Macaca fascicularis: one gene and its partner. The protein of the gene in region 2 purifies or fractionates together with the protein of the main gene of each other region. This does not show direct contact. Links are inferred from orthologs where the notes say so. Each region holds a gene or a part of one and is shown on either strand. Other genes may lie near its edges.

Evidence for each region.
Region 1: the proteins of FYTTD1 (region 2) and DDX39B purify together in Homo sapiens (affinity purification with mass spectrometry; 5 studies listed by BioGRID and IntAct, with this or other methods). This does not show direct contact. The link is inferred for Macaca fascicularis from reciprocal best matches to the Homo sapiens genes FYTTD1 and DDX39B.

Annotation. Positions count from the first base shown.
Region 1 is NC_088378.1:140,188,950-140,192,865, reverse strand, and holds the start of DDX39B (spliceosome RNA helicase DDX39B), read right to left. Parts: upstream 2,652-3,916; 5' UTR 2,598-2,651; exon of another isoform or gene 2,049-2,597; intron 1,830-2,048; exon of another isoform or gene 1,752-1,829; intron 1,312-1,751; 5' UTR 1,180-1,311; coding exon 969-1,179; intron 1-968. UniProt on the Homo sapiens protein: Involved in nuclear export of spliced and unspliced mRNA. Component of the TREX complex which is thought to couple mRNA transcription, processing and nuclear export, and specifically associates with spliced mRNA and not with unspliced pre-mRNA.
Region 2 is NC_088376.1:1,076,867-1,080,682, reverse strand, and holds part of FYTTD1 (UAP56-interacting factor), read left to right. Parts: intron 1-3,187; coding exon 3,188-3,336; intron 3,337-3,816. UniProt on the Homo sapiens protein: Required for mRNA export from the nucleus to the cytoplasm. Acts as an adapter that uses the DDX39B/UAP56-NFX1 pathway to ensure efficient mRNA export and delivering to the nuclear pore.

The DNA of each region.
Region 1 (3,916 bases), on a different chromosome or scaffold from region 2:
TTTTCATCATGCCAAGCCCATTTCTTACCACTCAATTCTCAAAATCTAGTATTTACCTGGTTCTTGCCAACTTCCAGACCCCTTTTACCTCTCTCTGCTCAATTATATTCACCTCAAAATCAGACTCTCCTAATTCATCCCAGCTTTGGCCTCCTCCAGATCTAGGCCTTCCCAGTCCTACTAACAGCCCCCTTGCATCTACCAACCGCTCACCTTCAATGCTCCTGGCTCTGTCCTTATTTTTCTTAATCTGTAACAATTCATGACATCTGAATACCTGCTAAAGACATTTCTCCTACTTAGGTTGCCATACTTCGGGTCACATAACAACAACCCGGGACAAAATGAAGGACTTGGTACCTGACCCAGAAGCCAGTCATCTCTAAACCAGTCATAGAGGTTTCCAGAGGCCACAGTTGGCCTGGCCCAACAGAGGGAGACTACAGGTCCAATCAGGACCTTTCTGGAAATTTAAAATTACAAGTCAAATGACAAAATTAAAAATAAGCAGACAAAAGAAGTCAGTCACAAGAATGAATGGCAGACCTAGAAGCTACTTTTGGATAATTAGCACTTTGGTGCTATCATGAAAGAAAGAACAAGTCTGTATAATCCTCCTCTATCCAAAATCGTTTTCGATACTTATCTCCTGATTTTTTTTTTCCTGTCTCCCCGGCTGGTGTACAGTAGTGCAATAACGGCTCACTGAAGCCTCAACCTTCACCTGCTTCGTTTAGTAGAGACAGGAGTCTCCCTATCTTGCCCAGGCTTCTCTTGCACTCGAGCTCAAGTGACCACCCCTCCTGCCTTGCCCTCCCAAAGCGCTGGGATTACAGGCGTGAGCCCCTGCACCTGACCCTGATCTAGCCTTAAGTATAAACTTTTACCACCTGAGCAACAACAAACACATCTTTTTATTGTACCCTTAAAGAGCCCAATGAGCACTACATGCCCAAGAGAAAATTTACCTTCTGACGGATGCTCAAAGCCACAGTCGACAATGGCCCGGAGCAACTCTGGCTTGAGCAGGAAGTCACGAAAGCCAGAGCTGTGGATGGAGACATAGGAGCCCTTGACATCCTTCTTGGCAGGGGCCTCAGCCCCATCTCCCCCAGCTGCTGTCTCCACCTCATCATCTTCATAGTCCAAGAGCTCATTGTCCACATCGTTCTCTGCCATAACTGGGCCGGCAGGGGAAGACGGGAAGGGGGATCTGGATGGGTTCTCGCAAAACAGGTGAAAACAAGGGGTGAAGAGTAGGGGATTGAGGAACAGCAAAGGAAAATAAAGATACTATTTCTAACAGAAGAGCTGGGGAAGGGGAAAAAAAAAAAAAGCAAGACTTAGTCACGAGCAGAGCCTTCACCACCTCTTTTCCATTCCCAGTTCCCACTTTCCCTAAACTAGGAAACTTTTACATGGAAAAAAAAACAGATACACAACATAAAAACGAAAAGCAAATACAAGAGAACAGAAAAAGCAGCACCAGCGAAAGTGGTTAGGACACAGGTTCCCAACAAGATTAGCAATCACAGTAGCGGAAACCAGAAAAGTTGGAAGGGGAAGACCAACTTATAAATTCTTAATCTGAAAATAACAGTGAGGAAATATAATAGATAATAAAAGATAAAATATGATTAATAACTTAGTAAAGTGGAAAATGGAGATGACAAGCAGAGTCCTGGAAAGTCCTCAAAGGAAGACTGTGCTTTCCCTATTATAATCCCACCGTTATGGATGCCTAACTCAGCAGCCATCAGTCAAGGGTGATAGATGAGGGTCATCACTGCGCAAAGCGCTCATCTTTCGAAAAGAAAACATCATATGGCCGCCGTCCACCTCCCATAGCTCTCAGCCTCCCACTTCTCAGTATCCTCTCTTCCGTTGTTTAAGAAAGCCTTGTGTAATTAGCATGGGGGGGAGGGGCGGTGCAAGACAAATGGCTCGGCCACCAAAAAAAAAAAAATCCATGTCTCCACCCTACAATAACAAAGTTAATAGTTGACAGAGAAAGGCAATCCCCGCCCAGGCTTTAACAGGATCTTTACCAAGTGGTCTGACATCACTGTTGCGCTACGAAGGTGAGACTCCTTTTGGAGAAACATACAATGACACCAGTAGTAAACACTTGTAAGGCACTCCAAATTAACTTGGGCGAGTCAAGGTGAGAAAAATCCAACTGGGCCCAAAAACCGGCTCCTCCTCCCAGTCCCACCGTGGGCCAAGAAAGGGCTCAAGAAAGGACAAGTAAGGTGATAAGAGCCCCGCCCTCCGCAAATACCAAGACCAAGGGACGCCTAGCGCCGCCTCTCATTGATGCTGAGGCCTCCAATATGAAAAGAACCTACTGGAAGAAGGGAGCAAAACGAACACAATGGCGCCGAGGACACCATCTTGGATTGGGCCCCCCCTTAGCTTCCCTTCCTTCCCCCAAGAGCTCTTTGCTCTCGAAAGGGATGCAAGCTACGGAAATGGGGAACCAACTAGGCCCCAGAGACCAGACGATCGCCTGTGAAAAGGGTATCAGGAACCCATGTGACGGGATGGGTGCGAAGAAGCGCAGATGGCAACGGATTGTAGTGAACGCCAAAGCTTACCTAAGCAGGCAGAGCGCGTATGGCGGCAGCAACAGCGACGAAGGAGGGAAATCTGCCTTCACTTCCGGTTGCAGGCTTCTCCCTACTCCAGCCTCCCGCCTTCTTGGCTGCAAGAGCGCAGGCGCAAGGGACCGGAAACGGGGCCTTCCGCGGTTGTACAGATCCGTGCGCTCCAGGCTTGCCTTTGGAAAATGCCTGTCTGAAATTTGTTTTAAAACCGTTTCTAACTTCCCTGCTACCGCCAGTAACAAAACGGATAAAGGAAACTAACGTCTCCTCCCACTGTTATCTTTCTTCTGTTGTCGTACTCCTCTCCATGCCTCTCATCTCTTCGTTTAGGTTTTTGCCATGCAGGTCTTCTCTCTAGGCACTCCATGGATGCGCGAGGAACCGGTGTGGCGAGGGCTGCGAGTTCCCACGGGGTCCTTGGCCCGGTAGTGAAGGTGACCTGAGGGCGGCTGGGCAAGCACTAGGAAACGGCAGGCCCTAGCTGAGGGGAGGGGCGTTGCCCGACTCTTTCCCAGTCGTGGGGCTAGTGGGCGGTATTTTCCCAAAAGGATGCTGTCCGAGGTAGCTGCGGCCCTAGGGCCAGGGAGTCAGGAAGGTGTTCTGAATCCGAGCGGGAAGACGGGGTCTGGATTCGGCCCCAAGTGTCAATAGTAGGGCTTGAGGGTTATACTACATTCCATTAATACTGTTTTTCTTTTTGTTTTGAGACAGAGTTTCGCTCTGTCGCCCAGGCTGGAGTGCAATGGCGTGGTCTCGGCTCACTGCAACCTCTGCTTCCTGGGTTCAAGCGATTCTCCTGCCTCAGCCTCCCAAGTAGCTAGGATTACAGGCGCCCGCTACCACGCCCAGCAAATTTTTGGTTTTTTAGTAGAGACGGGTTTTCACCCATGTATGACCTCAGGTGATCCACCTGCCTCGGCCTCCCAAAGTGCTGGGATTACAGGCGTGAGCCACCTCACCAGGCCCATTAATACTGTTAATTCGAGCAGAATGTTCTTGGCCCCACCCCAACAGCCCCATTGTTCAACCTGGATTTTTTTTCCTGAATGAAACATTTGCCATCCCTGTCTTTGAGATGGGGAGCTACAAAAGTAAGACCTGATGTCCTGCTGTGTAATAAAACAACAAACGTTTGACCCTCTCCCTGTTAGCACACTTAATCTTTTAATACTAAGGAGTAGGTACCGTTCTTGTCATCTTATTGACAGAAGCAAAGCAACATATCCCAAGCAGTACAGCTAGTGAGGTTACAGCCAGGATGCAAACATCTCTAATTCTCTATTGTATTCTGCCTCCCTGCTCAAAGAATC
Region 2 (3,816 bases):
AAAATACAATCATTGCTAAAACATACAGCTAATGAAGTTTGTTCAAAGGTAGAAAGGTGGGAGAACGAATCATATAGGCCTGATTAGAAAGTAGAGGAGGAGGTCAGGCGCCATGGCTCATGCCAGTAATCCCAGAACTTTGGGAAACCGAGGTGGGTGGATCACGAGGTCAGGAGTTCAAGACCAGCCTGGCCAACATAGTGAAATCCTATCTCTACTAAAAATACAAAAATTAGCTGGGTGTGGTGGTGGCACCTGTAGTCCCAGCTACTTGGGATGCTGAGGCAGGAGAATCTCTTGAACCTGGGAGGCGGAGCTTGCAGTGAGCTGAGATCCGGCCACTGCACTCCAGCCTGGATGACAAAGCGAGACTCTATCTCAAAAAAAAGCAAACCAAAAAAGGCAACACCATGGATAAGAGAAAAAAAAAGACAGTAGAAAGATTGATAAGTATGGGAACAATGTACTGTACTATCAATAGAAATAGCGTCAAGGGATAGAGATCTATTCCATACTTGTTTATTTTATTTTTTTTTATTTTTTGTTTTTTGAGATGGAGTCTTGCTCCATCGCCCAGGCTGGAGTGTGGTAGTGCGATCTTGGCTCACTGCAACCTCCGCCTCCCAGGTTCAAGCGATTCTCATGCCTCAGCCTCCTGAGTAGCTGGGATTACAGGCGCCCACCACCACGCCTGGCAGCTAATTTTTGTATTTCTAGTAGAGACGAGGTTTCACCATGTTGGCCAGGCTGGTCTCGAACTTCTGACCTCAAATGATCCACCAGCCTCATCCTCACTAAGTGTTGGAATTACAGGCGTGAGCTGCGGTACCCAACCTTATTTCATACTTAAGATCTTGTTTTAATCCATTTGATTGCTATTTATGAGAGACTCTTGTCAGTCTTTCTCATCTAGTCCTGAAATTTCGGTATAATAATGGGTTCCTCCTCCTTTTAATCTTTTCTTTTTGCCCTACAAACTCACTCGTTCTTTTGGAATATTTTCCCATTTCTTCCTTTCTCAAGAAAGATCTTTAGTATCAGTCTTATCAGATTATCATAGGAATTATAGTGCTCAGCTCAGATTTTCATACAAATTACAGTGCTCAGCTCAGATTATCATACGAATTACAGCGCTCAGCTCAGCTTACCGTACGAATTAGGGTACTCAGCACAGTGCCTAGGACAGTGAAGGGTAGCTGTCATGTTATTTAACACAAATAGCAAGTGATTCTATATTGGAATTAGTTTTAATGTACAGTTTTTCCCAATATGGTTTAATCTTCATCTGGTTGCAATTTCAGAAGGAAACCACACGTAGGGCAGCAATAATTTGATTTAAAAACTAAAAACTTTAAGCCAGCTGTGGTGGCTCACGCCTGTAACTCCAGCACTTTGGGAAGTCAAGGCAGGCAGATCACCTGAGGTCAGGAGTTTGAGACCAGCCTGACCAACATGGTGAAACCCCGTCTCTACTAAAAATACAAAAATATAACTGGGTGTGGTGGTGTGTGCCTGTAATCCCAGCTACTAGGGAGGCTGAGGCAGGAGAATTGTTTGAACCTGGGAGGTGGAGGTTGCAGTGAGCCGAGATCACGCCATTGCACTCCAGCCTGGGCGACAGAGTGAAACTCCGTCTCAAATAAAAAAAAAAAGAGTTTGCTTTACTGTTTAACTAACATTTCACCTTCTAGAAACTCACATCTTCAGAAAATAATCGTGGATGTATTTAAAAATATATCTATGGTTCCATTGTGATATTATTTATCATTAGAACTAACTGAAATGATTACTCTAAAGTTGATTGGATCAAGTATGGCATATTAAAAAGTAATTCAATAAAAGGATATCAAAAACATGGGATAATATTTTCACAATATAGGGGTGTGTGTGCGTTTGAGACAGGGTGTGTGTGTGTGTGTGTGTGAGACAGCATCTTGCTCTGTCACCCTAGGCTGGAATACAGTGTGATCTCAGCTCACTGTAACCTCTGCTTCCCAAACTCAAGTGATCCTCCTGCCTCAGCCTCCCTATTACCTGGGACTACAGGTGCGTGCCACCACGCCCAGCTAATTTTGTGTATTTTTAGTAGAAACGGGTTTCACAGTGTTAGCCAGGATGGTCTTGATCTCCCGACTTCGTGATTCACCCTCCTCGGCCTCCCAGAGTGCTGAGATTACAGGCGTGAGTCACCACACCCGGCCCCTATTTTTTTTTTAACTAGAAAAAAGTATTTACTTATTTATTTATATATTTATTTATTTTTAAATGTATTTATTTTTTGGAGACAGGGTCTCACTCTGTTGCAGCCTAGAGCTCCTGGACTCAAGCAATCCTCTCACCCCAGCCTCCTGAGTAGCTGGGACTATAGGCGTGTGCTACCATGCCCAACTAATTTTTAGAGGTGAGGCCTCCCTGTGTTGCCCAGGCTGGTCTTGAACTCCTGAGCTCAAGGGATCCTCTTGCCTCGGCCTCCCAAGTGCTGGGATTACAGGCATGAGCCACTGTGCCCAGCCTAGAAAAAGTATTTAAATAGGTAAGATATATAATGGAAAACCAAAGTTGGTAATGTCACATGCCGCAGATTAAAATGTGTCTATTGGCACTGGCGACTTTAGCAAAAGCGATTTGAATGGAGTAGGGCTGAAAGTGAAGCCAGATGGCAATATGTTGTCATAAGTAAATTGGAAATGAGATAGTGATTTCACTCTAGATCAGCACTGTTCAATAAAGATTGAGCACATATGAATATATTTTACTTCGCTGAGTATCTCTAAAATATTTCACTATATGATTTATATAAAATCATCAGTGAAATATTTTACCTTGAAATATCTCGATTCAGACTAGTACTTAACTTCAAGTACTCAGTAGTAACCACAGATGGTTAGTATCGACCCTACTGCACAGGTAAAGACTCTGTGGACTGTCCTGTTTGTTGAGAAACTAATGACGAAAGAGTATGGCCACATGTGCGAATCCTCTAGTTATTTACAGTCCGGTATAGCCACAGAACCCTTCCCAATGCAACAGATTGCTTTAAAATGACATATCTTATGTCATTTAAAAAACATAAATCATAACATAATAAAGGTTCATAACTTCCTCCTTCCTTGGAAAATAGAATATCCTGTGACCCTCCCAGCTGAATTGTTAAATTGACATTTTCTTCTCTTTTTGCTTCCTCTAGGTTTTGGTAAGACTAGTCTGAATCGTAGAGGAAGAGTCATGCCTGGAAAGAGACGTCCTAATGGAGTTATCACTGGCCTCGCAGCTAGGAAAACAACTGGAATTCGAAAAGGAATTAGTCCTATGAATCGTCCACCTCTAAGTGACAAGGTAGGATGATGGCTTAATCCTGGATTAGATGTCCTTTTCCATTATTTGTACTAACATTTCTGTGAATAAGCTTAACAGAAAATTTTATTTGTTTTTATATAGTACTTTGGGACTGATATATCAAATTTAATATCTGAATAAAAATCACTGCCATTCATAAAGAATACCTAAATTTCCACATTCTCAAATATAAGTAAGTTTTTTGTTTGTTTTTTGTTTTTTATATGTAGATAGAGCCTTGCTCTGTTACCCAACTGGAGTGCAGTGACGTGATCTTGGCTCAGCCTTCTGAGTAGCTGGGATTACAGGTGTGTGCCACCATGCCTGGCTAATTTTTGTATTTTTAGTAGAGATGGGGTTTCACCATGTTGGCCAGGCTAGTCTTAAACTCCTGACCTCAAGTGATCTGCCCCCCTCTGCCTCCCAAAATGCTGGTATTACAGGCGTGAGCCACCATGCCTGGCCGAAAATTGAGGTTTT